Xenopus tropicalis: one gene and its partner. The protein of the gene in region 2 purifies or fractionates together with the protein of the main gene of each other region. This does not show direct contact. Links are inferred from orthologs where the notes say so. Each region holds a gene or a part of one and is shown on either strand. Other genes may lie near its edges.

What was found.
Region 1: the proteins of wipf1 (region 2) and nck1 purify together in Homo sapiens (co-immunoprecipitation; 5 studies listed by BioGRID and IntAct, with this or other methods). This does not show direct contact. The link is inferred for Xenopus tropicalis from reciprocal best matches to the Homo sapiens genes WIPF1 and NCK1.

The regions. Positions count from the first base shown.
Region 1 is NC_030681.2:132,191,236-132,199,420, forward strand, and holds the start of nck1 (cytoplasmic protein NCK1), read right to left. Parts: upstream 4,203-8,185; 5' UTR 4,077-4,202; intron 1-4,076. UniProt on the Homo sapiens protein: Adapter protein which associates with tyrosine-phosphorylated growth factor receptors, such as KDR and PDGFRB, or their cellular substrates. Maintains low levels of EIF2S1 phosphorylation by promoting its dephosphorylation by PP1.
Region 2 is NC_030685.2:66,318,689-66,326,889, reverse strand, and holds the start of wipf1 (WAS/WASL-interacting protein family member 1), read right to left. Parts: upstream 4,707-8,201; 5' UTR 4,480-4,706; intron 4,368-4,479; exon of another isoform or gene 4,135-4,367; intron 1-4,134. UniProt on the Homo sapiens protein: Plays a role in the reorganization of the actin cytoskeleton. Contributes with NCK1 and GRB2 in the recruitment and activation of WASL.

The DNA of each region.
Region 1 (8,185 bases), on a different chromosome or scaffold from region 2:
ACATATGCATGTAGGGGTATGGAATCTATTATTCAGAATACTTGGGAACTGGGCTTTATGTAGTATGCTAACCATTAAGTACAAAGGTACTGTTTTGTTTTATTACTGTACACAGAAAAATGAAAATATTTTTAAAAATTCTAAATTAATCTTTCTGGATATTGATTTTCCAGTTAATAGACAACCATACTGTACTATAAAAATTGGTTGGCTCTGGAATCAGACAGATTAAAAATTGTAATCTGTCAATGTGCCATGTCGGCAAGTGCAAGGTGCATCTGTAGATGAGATAGTTAAGAGGAGCCACTTGTGCTCTGCGCAAGACTAAAACTATATTAATTTACACACTGTTAATCTGACCATACATTTAAATATGAACTCATTTTACGAAATTGCCAAATGGCAGATGTTTGCCCAATTCAGTCACCCATCTACAAAATTAAATCAGGTTGATCCTATCGATGGCCGAGGGGCCAAAGATCAGACCCTACTGGGGGCTACAGGGACCTGTTGTGTGAGGACCAAATCAATGCACCATAGTGGTCCTCACCTTACAGAATTGTCAGATCTGTCCAACAGATATCTGGCCAATTATAATCAGTATATCAGTCAAAAAGGGTTCTCCAGAGGGCCCTATACACAAATAAGACAGCCTGGAAGAGCCAAGTTGGGAGCTTTTACTGTCCTTTAAAAGACAGCACCAAACCTGAGATATCTAATCAGGCAAAACCAGACAGCTCCTAACTTTGCCATATGTGAAGATCTGACTATACAGTAGATGTATTTCAATGTGAAATAAAGAGCCTATTAGACTAGACCAGTGCTGTCCAACTTCTGTTGTACCGAGGGCCGGAATTTTTCCGACCTACGTGGTGGAGGGCCGATAATGGAAGCCAGTTTTGACCACTCCCCTTTTTGAAACCGCACCCACTTGAAACCACACCCATGTTATCACATGACCATACCCATATTAATGGTTGTAGTACAGCAAAAACCTGCCATACTCTGCCTGCCCTACCCTGCCTTTGTGTGTGCCATACTCTGCCTTCCCTACCCTGCCTGCGTGTGCCATACTTTCACTGTGTGTGCCATTCTTGGCTGGTTTGTGCCAAACTTGGCCTGTGTGTGCCATACTCTGCCTGCCATACTCTGCCTTCCCTACCCTGCCTGTGTGTGCCATACTCTGCCTGCCCTACTCTGCCTGTGTGTGCCATACTCTGCCTGCCCTACTCTTCCTGTGTGTGCCATACTCTGCCTGCCCTACTCTGCCTGTGCGTGCCATACTCTGCCTTCCCTACCCTGCCTGTGTGTGCCATACTCTGCTTGCCCTATGCTCACACACAGGCAGCCTACAGTGACACAATGCTGGCACTGCTCCTACAGTCTGCACAATAACTATATATTAAAAAACTTTTTAATTGCAGTACCACCTCAGTATATGTTCTTTTTGTAGTATGCAGGGATTATTTGTGGGTTTCTACTGCTCCTGAGGTGTGAAGAAGTGAACAATGGGTGTGATTACAGCCTGAGCCTGAGGTGTGAACACTGCAGGGGGTGAACAATGCAGAGATTAAAAGGTGTGAACAGTACAGGGGATTACATATTTAAACAATACAGCCTGATTACAGCCTGAATCTGAGGTGAGAACCATGCAGGGGGGGGGGGCAGTTAATTACAGTTCTGATACCATTTAAAGCTTACACAAAGGTAAGCCATCAAAGCAGCCAGACAGGTGGGGGGCCACACAGAGGGGGGCCGCGGGCCGCATGCGGCCCGCGGGCCGCCAGTTGGACAGCACTGGACTAGACTATTAGACTAGCTGCTATAGGTTGGAAGCTTTTGACAGCCGGATTGTGTCAGATGACAACTTTAACGTAGTTAACAGACTCTACTTTTACTATCAGTAGCATTATTTATGGACAAGTGGAACTATTTGGATTATGTGCTTTGTTGACCGTTGTGTAGTTCAGCCCAAACTATGAAGAATGAATAGAATCAAGCCACTCTGATCCATAGTTTGCTGTATTATCTATGGGGTCAGTATGAGCTTGTATATACATCCTGTCACAGTCACTCATTCTCTTGTTGTCATACTGACCATTACTTTCCTTCCTTTCTACTCATACACCCACAACCGTTACTGTCTGGCCTTGTTTTCACTGTCTCTTACAATATCTTTTGACTCATGAAAATATACCGTAATGGCTACGACTGTATGTTTATTAATTTTGACCATTTGTTTTTAGCCTTCCTGGTTGAGGAATATTTTAGCTAAAAACACAAGTGTGTTCAAAAGAAATTTGCCAATTTCCACGTTCAAATTATACATGATTTAAAGTCAACCGAAACAACACCCCTCCTCGCACACTCACACAAACTTCCTTTACAAGCTGCTTTCTGCTGTGTAATTCAGTTGCACTGCAACAGTGCTTCCTGCTTCATGCAACCACAAAGACTGGTGCATCCGATGAAAAAATGGCTCCCCGTGGAAAACTGCTCTTTCAATTAAGAGACATTTAATGACTTAAGTGACTAAACAGCCACTGGTCTGTCCAGTAAATGAGCCTATGATCCCTCCCCTTCTAAGCCACTTGGCCAGAGAAAAGGAGGCATGTGGATCTATTTGAGTCAGCACCAATGCATGGATGTAGATTGACCCATGTCTGCTGAATGAACTGCCTTAAATGACTGGGCAACACAGAAGGAGAAAAGGAGCTGGTCCAGATTCCTAAGTAAGGAAAGTAAAAATCCATTTTCAATTAAGATATTCTTTTGTAATAAAACTGTAAGAAGTTATAGGTATAAATGTCATGTAAGATCAATGGCTCATAGACCACTGGGAGTGCTATGCAGAACACATGATTTCCAATTCTACTCACCAGTGCCCCATGTACCATTGCCCTAACAGCTTTCATAGCATGGCAACTCATCTAGTATCTATCTACTACAAGCCATAGCCCCACAAGGGCCAGTGTGCAGAACAAGATATTTAGCTTGTAGCTGCCTTGCTGTTGTTCTTCTGTGGATCCCTAACAAATGAGGAGGATGAATGGGTTTCAGAGACCCAGGCTGGGGTTCCCACAGTCATGCACATGGATGCAGGGTTCATACCACAATCACTAAAACGCCAACAACTAAAGTGAAAACATTTGACTAAGCTGCAGTAGCCCCATGCAACTCCACTTGGTGCTGCTTCAGTTCACAGCCTAACGAGTTTCATTAATTAATATTTAGTAGGGAATCAATGGCTAGGCCTATAAGGAAAACAGTGTGAGGCATCTGTATAATAAAACATAGTTAATGCAGTAGAGAATATGCATGTTTATTCTTCATAACTGGGATTCCCAACATGCAAGCCTGCAGCTACTTAAAGGAGTATACTCCTTGCCTAACATGAGTGCAATAAAGAGGGTTTGTGCCAAACATACTTTTTGTCTATTGTTTTAATTAAAACATATCGATGGTGTTTGTTATTGCTTTAACTAAATTGGGCAAACAGAGCAACTGAAGCGACTCCATGATTCTAACTTCCTGGTTCTTGTAAGGTAGATAATAAGATTATGAGAGCACAGTTGTACCCTCTGTAGCTTGGGCATCTGTTTATAAGTATCCCCAAAACAGTTGCAACAAAGGGTTAAAGAGAGGGAGTTGCTTAGACTAAGAAAATATGGAGTTTTTTGTTTTGTTTATCAATGAAAAGAACAGTCAGAATGTATTTTCAGAAAAGGTTATGATAGGCTATGGGGGATTAAGGTGTATCCCACTCCTTATACTCTAAGCATCACCTAAGGAAGTGAGAAATGTGGGTGCTGTGGTTCAGCAAGAGCCCTGAAATACAAATGATAAGCTAAGCAGGGTTATCTTGCAATAGTGCCCTAGCTGAGGATGCTGGGAAGCTGCACAACGTAGCAGCTTGGAGACAATCGAATATGACATTCCAGGTCTCCACAGCCAGTCATGGGAATGATACTCAGCTCCCCAGCAGGCCTCTCCCTTTCCCACGACCCCCTCCCACCCCGACATACAACCCACCGTAACTTCCTCTCAGAACGCCCTGACAAGCCAAGGAAGCTCACCTGAGACAGGCAGCGGAGCTGGGTAGAGAAAGCGCGCCCCGGAGCCTGGCACCATGTGCCCCAGCACACACCTCACCAACACGGACCTCACAGAGATTCCAACCGCCTAGAGCTTCTACCTCTCCGGCCAGGCATCAGAAACCACCTAGCTCCGCCCACCACTCCTAGCCACGCCCGCGTACAAGCAACGCTGCTCTTTTCCTTGCCACAAACCAAGCGTCGTCATACTTCCACCCTGCGGCCACGCCCACTACAAAGAAAAAAAATGTACTGACGGCGAATATACCCATTGCGCAGGCGCAAGGGTAACGCTTGTGCCGTACTGCCGGCGTTAGGTCATTGTTACCCTAATATGCTGCTCCGCTTCGGCGCTTTTAGTTTCATTTCAGGAAAAATAAGGCAAGGCTAAGAATCTGAGAGTTCCAACCTGGACAGTCTGTACGACAGTATTTGTGACTTGTCATCTCACGTCCCGCTGGAGGGCATCGATTTGTATTCCTTTTCTTACTTGAGAAATTTACTGACGTCATGAACAGAGGGAGATGCGCATGCGTAGATTATGCAAATGATATTTCATAATTAACATGTTTCAGTGTGATTTTCGGGGTTTTGCGCGTAGCTTGGGGCACAAAAGCTGAAAACAGGGGTCGCCCCCCTAAGCGCTGGCATATGGTAGGGTCTGCAGAGGGGTGGGACGGCCGGGAAGCCTCCCCATATGCGCATGCTCACAGCCTGCTTTCTCTGCAACTAGCAGCTCTATTAGCAATAGCCTGTGGTACGCTATAACAGGTAACATAGGGTGAAATGATGCTGGTATTGGTATGGTATTAAGGGCTTTAGTCTTCAGCAAATGTTGGTGTATTAGGTGTGGTACTTACTGGGAAGGGATAGCAGGTATAGTAGTGAGCCTATAGTAGCAGTGGGGGAATAATAGCCTCTGGGAAGGGACTGTGGCTGTGGGATAGCAGGTATAGTAGGGAGAGATGGTGCCTATAGTAGCAGTGGGATAATAGCCTCTGGGAAGGGACTGTGGCTGTGGGATAGCAGGTATAGTAGTGGGAGATGGTGCCTATAGTAGCAGTGGGGATAATAGCCTCTGGGAAGGGACTGTGGCTGTGGGATAGCAGGTATAGTAGGGAGAGATGGTGCCTATAGTAGCAGTGGGATAATATCCTCTGGGAAGGGACTGTGGCTGTGGGATAGCAGGTATAGTAGGGAGAGATGGTGCCTATAGTAGCAGTGGGATAATTACATAGTTACATAGGGTTGAAAAAAGACCATTGTCCATCAAGTTCAACCCATCCGAGTAAACCCAGCACACAACCTATACTAACCAATCTATACACTCACATACATAAACTATATATATACAACCAGTAATACTAACTGTAGATATTAGTATCACAATAGCCTTGGATATTCTGCTTGTTCAAAAACTCATCCAGGCCCCTCTTAAAGGCATTAACAGAGTCTGCCATTACCACATCACTAGGAAGGGCATTCCACAGCCTCTGGGAAGGGACTGGGGCTGTGGGATAGCAGGTATAGTAGGGAGAGATGGTGCCTATAGTAGCAGTGGGGGTATAATAGCCTCTGGGAAGGGACTGGGGCTGTGGGATAGCAGGTATAGTAGGGAGAGATGGTGCCTATAGTAGCAGTGGGATAATAGCCTCTGGAAAGGGACTGTGGCTGTGGGATAGCAGGTATAGTAGGGAGAGATGGTGCCTATAGTAGCAGTGGGGGTATAATAGCCTCTGGGAAGGGACTGTGGCTGTGGGATAGCAGGTATAGTAGGGAGAGATGGTGCCTATAGTAGCAGTGGGGGTATAATAGCCTCTGGGAAGGGACTGGGGCTGTGGGATAGCAGGTATAGTAGGGAGAGATGGTGCCTATAGTAGCAGTGGGATAATAGCCTCTGGAAAGGGACTGTGGCTGTGGGATAGCAGGTATAGTAGGGAGAGATGGTGCCTATAGTAGCAGTGGGGGTATAATAGCCTCTGGGAAGGGACTGTGGCTGTGGGATAGCAGGTATAGTAGGGAGAGATGGTGCCTATAGTAGCAGTGGGGGGATAATAGCCTCTGGGAAGGGACTGTGGCTGTGGGATAGCAGGTATAGTAGGGAGAGATGGTGCCTATAGTAGCAGTGGGATAATAGCCTCTGGGAAGGGACTGTGGCTGTGGGATAGCAGGTATAGTAGGGAGAGATGGTGCCTATAGTAGCAGTGGGGGGATAATAGCCTCTGGGAAGGGACTGTGGCTGTGGGATAGCAGGTATAGTAGGGAGAGATGGTGCCTATAGTAGCAGTGGGGGGATAATAGCCTCTGGGAAGGGACTGTGGCTGTGGGATAGCAGGTATAGTAGGGAGAGATGGTGCCTATAGTAGCAGTGGGATAATAGCCTCTGGGAAGGGACTGTGGCTGTGGGATAGCAGGTATAGTAGGGAGAGATGGTGCCTATAGTAGCAGTGGGGGGATAATAGCCTCTGGGAAGGGACTGTGGCTGTGGGATAGCAGGTATAGTAGGGAGAGATGGTGCCTATAGTAGCAGTGGGGGGATAATAGCCTCTGGGAAGGGACTGTGGCTGTGGGATAGCAGGTATAGTAGGGAGAGATGGTGCCTATAGTAGCAGTGGGGGGATAATAGCCTCTGGGAAGGGACTGGGGCTGTGGGATAGCAGGTATAGTAGGGAGAGATGGTGCTTATAGTAGCAGTGAGGGGATAATAGCCTCTGGGAAGGGAGTGTGGCTGTGGGATAGCAGGTATAGTAGGGAGAGATGGTGCCTATAGTAGCAGTGGGGGGATAATAGCCTCTGGGAAGGGACTGTGGCTGTGGGATAGCAGGTATAGTAGGGAGAGATGGTGCCTATAGTAGCATTGGGGGGATAATAGCCTCTGGGAAGGGACTGTGGCTGTGGGATAACAGGTATAGTAGGGAGAGATGGTGCCTATAGTAGCAGTGGGGGATAATAGCCTCTGGGAAGGGACTGGGGCTGTGGGATAACAGGTATAGTAGGGAGAGATGGTGCCTATAGTAGCAGTGGGGGGATAATAGCCTCTGGGAAGGGACTGTGGCTGTGGGATAACAGGTATAGTAGGGAGAGATGGTGCCTATAGTAGCAGTGGGGGGATAATAGCCTCTGGGAAGGGACTGTGGCTGTGGGATAGTAGGTATAGTAGGGAGAGATGGTGCCTCTCAGTGGGTGGACAATTAAACACAATTACAAATAATTTTTATATGGATATTGGCTAACCTGATTTCAGCAAAAGTTTTGACATAATACAAAGAAATGCTTCTTGTGAATACGACAGACAATAAATTGATTACAGAGAATCTGCTTGACTTCATGAAGGATTCCATGATGAGATATTTAGTAAAGTGGATTAGGGAGGATCTGTTGATGGGATATGTTTAGTTTTGCCAAAACCTTTGCTGCTGTCCAAAATACAATGGAAATGCATAAAATATAACACAGCCTCAAAGAAATGGCAAAGAATTCTTATGAATAGAATATATTATGTTTGACTATTTCCTCACTGCAGAAAAAAGTTAGAAATGTGAGTTAAAGTGAAACTGGATTTATTTCTAAAGATGCAGATATTGGTCTGTGTAAAGCATTGTTTTACAATTTAAGCCCTATTTTAGAAAGTGACAAGTCTCAGTTTTAACAGTTATGTGTCACTATGCATACATACATACATAAACCCTTGTGCTTTTTCTGTAATATGTGTTTCCCTGCCCGCCCTTTACTAACCTGTGTCGGCCTCTAGCATGGCTTGAAGTTGAGCAGCTTTCTGATTGATATTGGACCGTGGGGGTTTTGATTGGCTGGGGAGTTGCCTATCAGAATAATAGTGCACCATCGCTCACAAAGCTGTTCAGCTTAATGCTATGTGTGCTGGAGCCTGACACAGGATAGTAAGGGGTGAGCTGGGGGAGACAGGGGGGCACATACATTACAAAATAATTGCAGGCAGCACTAGGGTTTATGTAGGCATAGTGAAATATTCCTGTTAAAACTTTGAAAGTGTCTATACCTTTAATCACAAATATAATTTAAAACTGACTTAACTGTGTCAAGCTTGCAGACGTAACATCAATTATATAGGC
Region 2 (8,201 bases):
TCAACACTCAAACTGAGACTTATGTGTTATTTCATAAACTTTCACAACTTCTAGTTTTTTCTCTCACTATATATAAGGCCCTGGCTGTTTATGTGGTTACCCTGTAATGCAGACATCAGTTCTCTGCATTCACTGCCAGTTCTGACTCTTGTAACAATGTAGCAGTCAGTCCCCTCTACGGTATCTCTGCTAATCAGGTGATTTCTGCTACATTGTTTCAGTTGTCAGGACCACTTGTGTAGAGAACAGAAAAAAGATAGATGCTGCTTGTAATACATTTACATATAACTTTAAAGCCATTTCTAAAATCGAATTAACCTATAAGTTTGCTTATGAACAATTCATTTTATAGAAATGCTGGATCATAAACAGGGTCGGACTGGGGGGTGCAGGGTCCATCGGGGCTGCTGCCCCTAGTGTCCCGCCCCCCCAAGGTGCCCCTGCCGGCCGCGTCCCCCCACTCCACAAGGGCCCCTGCCATGCCCCCCTAACCTCCCACAGGGGCCCCAGCCCAACGTCCTCCCCTGAGAGCGCATAAGTGAAACACGTCAGGGGAGGGGCACCACCGGGTGAGTGCCCACAGGGACCGGGTCTGAGCCACCAGGGCCCACCTTGTTTTTTCCCGGTGCCTCAGTGGCTCAGTCCGACCCTGGCTGTAAATGATAGAATGCTCATAACCCAATAAGATTGTTTTTCAATAAGGTTTGATTATATCTTAGTTGGGATCAAGGTACTGTTTTATTATTACAGAGAAAAAGGAAATCATTTAAAAAAAATGTAATTATTTGATTAACATGGAGTCTATGGGAGATGGCCTTCCTGTAATTCTGAACTTTCTGGATAACGGAATTACAGATAATGGATCCAGGGTCAGACTGGGGGTTGCAGGGCCCACCGGGTAAGTAAGTGAAACTTACTTTCAATGCGTCAGGGTTGGGACACTGGTGGCCAGGGGAGCGGTGACAGGAATTGGGTCTGGCCCCACCGGGTTTTTTCCTGGTGCCCTGGTGGCCCAGTCCGACCCTGAATGGATCCCATATATATAGCTGCACCACCCGGCCTCTGGTCCTGAATTCTCAGTGGGCTTGGCATATAGTAAATATAAATAAATGGAGGGCACGCACAGAAAACACAAGCACAGTGGTAGTATTAAAAGATGAGAATTACCCCTATTACCCTGGGGTAAATTTACAAATGTATGTATTATTTTCTGTAATCTTGTAATTAAAATTGATTGCTGTTAAATCTTTTGCATATTATATAAAGGATTATTTTATTAATACTACCACTATTCTTGTGTTTTATGTGTGCAAACCCTTATCCTATTTAAAATTCACAGTGGGCTTGGGCCTAAAAATCATGTGCAGTCGTTCTGATACCGAGCACTGGAAAAACATAGCAACAACACATTCCCCCCCTTCCTTTGCGGCTGCAATGATGGTGGAATTATGGGAAGAAAAGCTGCATTCTGGGTTAAAAAAACAAGAAATTCAAAAAAAGTGAACAGGAGCGACCAGCAGCACAAACACTGCAGTCCAAGGGACCTGTGTGTAGGGAAAGTTTGCGGCACAGATGTTATCCCTGCTCCATATGCATTTCCACTCTTTGCCAAGGTCAACATTCCTCCATAAAGGGGAAGCTGTTAATCTAATTGCAATTGCTGTTTGTGTTCTATACAGCTCAGTGGTTAGATAACATTTTTATAGGTTTATCTTAGCATGGTTGGGTTGATATTGATAATAACCAGTTGAAAGCATGAATTACATGTCACTTTCTAATCCAATCAGCTGTATTTCTATGAATATCCAGCACAGCAGTTCCAGCATCTCAGCTTAAATAAATGTCAGGCTGGGCTTCCAGTCTTGTCTTGGCTTACCCACCTGTACCTATGGCAGGCATACCAGCAGGCCCTGGGCACATAGTGAAAATGTGCTTAGAAAATGTCCCCTAGTTGAGGCCACCAATATGGAGAACATCTTAGCAGATGCATGCAGCTAAGCAACACCTACAAATACTGATTTATACGTGTTTCCTCACAACACAGTCCCTAGAACTAAATGTCACATTGCAGGCTGTTGTAGTTGGAAGACATTACACTAGCCCTCTGGTGAACTGAAGATACCCATACCAAGTACAAATTCTGCTCCACATGTTTGTAAATTATCTTAGATGCCTTGATGCCCTCCTTGTGTGCCAGCTACCCCGGGCAAGTTCTCTGGGGTCTATAATATGACCTCTGTGCATCAAAAAGTACATGGCCAGAATGTGCCATCGCTGCCAGCAGGCCAGAAAGCTGCACTGGGTTTTTATTAGAGGGCTGCTGATATAAGTTACAACCTGTACTGGATCTTATGGGGTCCCAGGGGCACAATTCCAAACTAAGTTATATTTCTCTTTAAACGAATACACGTAAAAGAGGGAGTACTCCTTCACAGGCCCTTCACATTAACCAAACAACTATATTACTTATAATCTAGATGGGTGGAGAGGGTACATGGTTGTCCACTGGGGGACCAGCCACAGTCAATCTATTAAACACAAAAACAAGTGGGTTTTTCCTAGGCACACTCCCTGGCCAGCATACAAAGGGCACAATACAAGAAAGGAGGCTGTACCTGATGTTTGCAAATAGGGTGCTTCCAAATTTCATGAAGGTGCACAGAAACACCCTATATGCAAACATCAGCCACAGTTAGGCTGGCTGTACAGGTGAATTTATAGGCCCATGTACTTGGCAGGTCCCATCTGATCAATATCTGCCCGACATTTGCCCCATTCCAACTTGGCCCAGTAATATGGTGGCCAAATCAAGTAATTATTATCATTATTAACATTTATTTATACAGCGCCACATATTCCGCAGCGCTGTACAATAAGTGGGTTTCATACATTGGACATACAGAGTAACATATAAAGCAATCAATAACCGATACAAGAGGTGAAGAGAGCCCTGCCCAAAAGAGCTTACAAAGGGTTGAGACACAAGGTGTAATGACCTGCTTGTTTGGTAACCTAGCTTAACAAGCTGTATGGCTATCTTTAGGGGACCACTGGCTTAAGATCTCACTTCTGGAGTGATGCAAACAGCTGTCAGATGGGATCTGGGACCACTGTGGTCTCCAGGCTCTGTAATAAAGACTACTAAGATCCTTAGCCAGGAAGGAGGACCGAACTGCTGCTTTGATATAGAACACAGCTATTCAGTTATATTTACCTATCTAAGATTGCAAGTGATTGTAACTTTCAAAGGTTTAAGCAAAATAATTAAGTTTCTACAAAACTACTGTATTTTATTCTTTCGAGGCATAAATCCAAATGTTAGTTCACTAAGAGTCTGTTCATTCTTTAATATTCTGTAACCCAATGCAATTCAAATGTTCCATCATAGGGTATTAAGGGCACATTTCCAAGATTTTCCCTGTTTACTGCAACAGCACCAACGTACCATCTTTTTTTTAAAGAAAAAAATGTAGTTACTTGCAATCATGTGACCATATCCAAATATCAGAAAGAAAGCACTATAAAGGCTCTGATAGGACCAGACAGTGGATGTTTCTAGGGAAAAACTCTGATATTACACATGACGCACGAAGGTCAGTTCAGGAGAAGAGAAATTGCCAAATAAACAGAGCAATTCAATAAGAGCAGGAAATACAGCAAGTTACAGAAAATACCCCAGAATAAAGGGGGAACTGCACTTTATTGCAGACATAGCAAAAACAAGGGGAAAAAAACCCAAAAATGGTATGTTCTGCCAACATAGGATTTCCCTTCAGCTTGATGCCATGGTAATTGTTTTTAGAATGCTAAAAGTTGTCTTAATATTGCCAAAGGGGTCAGTGGATTCTGTCAGCTGCTGCAGAACCTCTACCCACACAACATACCCCCTCCTTATACTGCCAGCAGGCAAACCATCAGGGTCCTGACTCTTTCCAGTCCACACATTCCCTGCATTCCCCATACAAGGCTGCTGCTGCTGAGTTAAAGAATATGCTGCCCAAGTTTCAGATTAGTAAACAGGTCATTAGTCCCAGAAATGACAGACATATAAAAGAGTATGGGGGAGTGAGTTAGTACCACAAGCAGCAGTAGGAGAAGTTAGCCAAAGCAAAGCTGCCAGTCAGTGGCAAATACCTGCAGGCAGCACAGTGAGGGTCTCCCCGGCAGGCAGCACACTGAGGGTCTCCCCGGCAGGCAGCACAGTGAGGGTCTCCCCGGCAGGCAGCACAGTGAGGGTCTCCCCGGCAGGCAGCACACTGAGGGTCTCCCCGGCAGGCAGCACACTGAGGGTCTCCCCGGCAGGCAGCACACTGAGGGTCTCCCCGGCAGGCAGCGCAGCACTAGATGACATGGCAGTGGGGATGGAGCTGCATGGCAGATGCACAAAACAGCAGCAGGATAAGAATGGTAAGGATCTGCCCAGCTGTTCCCATGCCCAAGCCACACCCAGCAGTTTCCTAGTGCCTCGGTGTCACTTACTTGTGGCTGCAGCTGCTGCTGCTGGAGTGAGAGGCGCTTCCAGACGCTTCCGGGCGCTTGCGTTTCTCTTCCCCTCCAGATGTTGCGCCGCGATTATCCCGGGCACCGGCCGATCTGCCTTGTTCCCCTCACTCTCCCTGAGTTGTGCAAAGAGAAAAAAAATCCAGACTTCCCCTCAGTCCGGAAACATTGATGTGATGCAACAGTTCCCACATCTGGCCTGAGCTTGCTCCATCAGCTGCGCTGCGATTATTGTAGCACATCCAAATCGGAGGCTGCTGCTACACTCAGCAGCGTTTTATAGAATGATGGCTGTGTTTACACTCCCATCCCATCATCCCATATGGTATTTGTAGCAGTACCTAGTTCCATTGCATGGTATCATGGAATCGCACCTACTGACCTGGTGTGACATGCAGCAATGCTGCTAATGATCATAAATACACTTTCTGTGCCTGTCTTAAAGGAACAGTAACATCAAAAAAATAAAGTGTTTTAAAGTAATTAAAATATAATGTGCTGTTGCTCTGCAAAAAATTGGTGTTTTTGCTACAGAAAAGCTACTATATAAATAAGCTGCTGTATAGCCATGGGGGCAGCCATTCAAGCTGGAAAAAAGGAGAAAAGGCACAGGTTACATAGCAGATAACTAGTAGATAAGCCTCATAAGTAGATATCTGTTATCTGCTAAGTAACCTGTGCCTTTTCTCCTTTGAATGGCTGCCCCCGGGGCTACACAGCAGCATATTTATATAAACTATAGTCTTTCTGAGGCAAACACACCAGTTGTACCAGTGCAGGGCAACAGTACATTATATTGTTAATACTTTTATACACTTTCATTTTTTGGTGTTACTGTTCCTTTAATGGTCACATTAGCTACATGCCTATCATGCTACATGGGTTACATTACACCTAATAAACATGCCTGCATTCACTAAATAACAACTAATTCTGCACTTTGCAAAACATGAAAACATTTAAACAAATAAAGCACATTTGCAATTTTTAAAATAACATTTTTCATTATAAAGTTATTTACATTTTGGTAATTAATTTGTTACATTTGATAAAAAAAAGCCCTCTAAGTTGGCAAAAGGGTTAAAGTACCAGAAGTGTAAAGAAATAGTTCACCTATGAATTAACATTAAGGGGTATATTTATCATGCTGTGTAAAAAGTGGAGTAAAACATCAGCAGTGATGTTGTATATAGCAGCCAATCAGATGCTTTTATTTGATTTTCTAACTGTTGAAATCTAATTGCTGATTGGTTACTCTGGGTAACATTACTGGTAATGCTTTACTCCACTTTTTACACAGCATGATAAGTATACCCCCTAGTCTGATCAGTGTCAGACTTGGGTGGCGGGTTGCCAAATGTGGCTAATTCAATCGTTCAGCCCTAGGGCCAAACAATTGAATTAGAACGGCGAGCATAGGTGCCATTGGCCCAAGGACCACCAGCCAATGCTTTCCCTGATCCGAAGTAAAATTGAACCTGCCCTATCAAAATCTAGCCAATTTAGGCCTTGTATCAGTTAGGCAGGCCCAGGGTCAGACCTGATCCCTGTTGCCGCTTCCCCTGGCCGCCGATGTCCTCCCCTGATGCGTTTCACTTATGTGCGCTCAGGGGAGGATGTCGGGAGGGTGGTGGGGGCCCCTGCAGGGGCTTAGGGGGGGTGCAGCAAGGACTGCTGCAGGGGGGTTCGGGGCCCTTGGGGCAGTCCGACCCTGGGTAGGCCCATCGGGGGTGGCCATATAGGAGCAGATAAGCTGCCGTATTGGTCTAAAGGACCCAAATTGGCAGCTAAAATCTGACCATGAATGGGCCTCTTTACAATCGGTGTAGGCAGTGCTAACCTAGGGAGCTGAGTTGCAGTTGTCATTGCAGTTGCAGTGGTGCAAGGAAGACACAGCAAAGAGGGGGGGCTGCAGGACACTAGTAACAATATGAACAAATAGAGATATTAAACATATTTTCCAGTTCTGCACAGGCAACTCTGATTTCACCTACTAGGATGTGTTGTTACTAGTCAACAGTATTGATAATGGGGGCCATGTATATCCCTTGGATTTGGGGCTTTTGGATGTCTATGGTGACTGGGTACCTGGTGCAAATTAGTGTCTTATCTCCACCTAGTTGGATTCGGAGGGGAAGGTGGGACCACTAGGGAACGAAAACCATTTAACACACATTTAATGTTTAGTCAATACCTCAATGTACAGTAAATAACAGGGGCTATTGGAAGGTTGCTTAGCATTACATTTTCTTTAATAATGTAAAAAAAATTGTTTTGGTTGATGCTGATGTTAGGCCACTTACCTTTGGTGATTTCAGGCAGCTCAGTGTATTTAAATATGTAAGATGTGAAAGGCACAGTTCTCCTTTAAATTAACTCTTTGCATGATGTAGACAGTGATATAGTGTGCCAGCAATGTGCTTCTACTGTATTTACTGTATCTCTGTTTGTCCCCCAATTTGATGGCCTGTGGCCAATGCACATGCTGCATTCCCTTTTAACTGTGTCCTGCTGCTATCTAGTATACATGCAAGTGCAAGACCAAATAACATTATAAATATATATGTACATTGACTGGGGGACTGTGGTTTCATATGTAGCACAAAGCCATTAAAATCAGATTGCAGCTCAGGTAAGTGCACTCTCAGTTATTATTCTGACTTCTGACCCATTTATCTTATTTTCTCTATTTATCTTATTATAGCTGATTCCTGTGTCTGAGTGCACACATTGGGTTTCACAAGCCTGACGGTGGCTGATCTGACCAAACGGCGCTAAAGATAACAGGAAACCAGAGAGGAGAGAAGAAGGAAATGGTTTCACAGTAAGTGTGAGAGTTAGAATATAAAAGATGTATATATAAGAAGAGAGCAATCCTGCCAGCACACTCAGTAACTGATGGGGGGGGGGGGAGAGATAGGGGTTTGGGTATTTGAGTTATACACTAAATGGTAGTTTGTTGGGGGATCCTTAATTGAAAAGGATCTGGGGGTTTTGTAGATAACAAGTTGTCTAATTCCAGGCAGTGTCATTCTGTGGCTACTAAAGCAAATAAAGTGCTGTCTTGTATAAAAAAGGGCATTGACTCAAGGGATGAGAACATAATTTTGCCCCTTTATAGATCCCTGGTAAGGCCTCACCTTGAGTATGCGGTGCAGTTTTGGGCTCCAGTCCTTAAGAGGGATATTAATGAGCTGGAGAGAGTGCAGAGACATGCAACTAAACTGGTAAAGGGGATGGAAGATTTAAACTATGAGGTGAGACTGTCAGGGTTGAGGTTGTTTTCTCTGGAAAAGAGGCGCTTGCGAGGGGACATGATTACTCTGTACAAGTACATTAGAGGGGATTATAGGCAGATAGGGGATGTTCTTTTTTCCCATAAAAACAATCAACGCACCAGAGGTCACCCCTTTAGATTAGAGGAACGGAGCTTCCATTTGAAGCAGCGTAGGTGGTTTTTCACAGTGAGGGCAGTGAGGTTGGGGAATGCCCTTCCTAGTGATGTGGTAATGGCAGATTCTGTTAATGCCTATAAGAGGGGCCTGGATGAGTTCTTGATCAATCAGAATATCCAAGGCTATTGTGATACTAATATCTACAGTTAGTATTAAGGGATGCCCCAAATCCAGGATTCGGTTCCGGATTTGGCCAGGATTTGTTTTTCCCAGCAGGATTGGGATTAGGCTGAATCCAATTGCTTG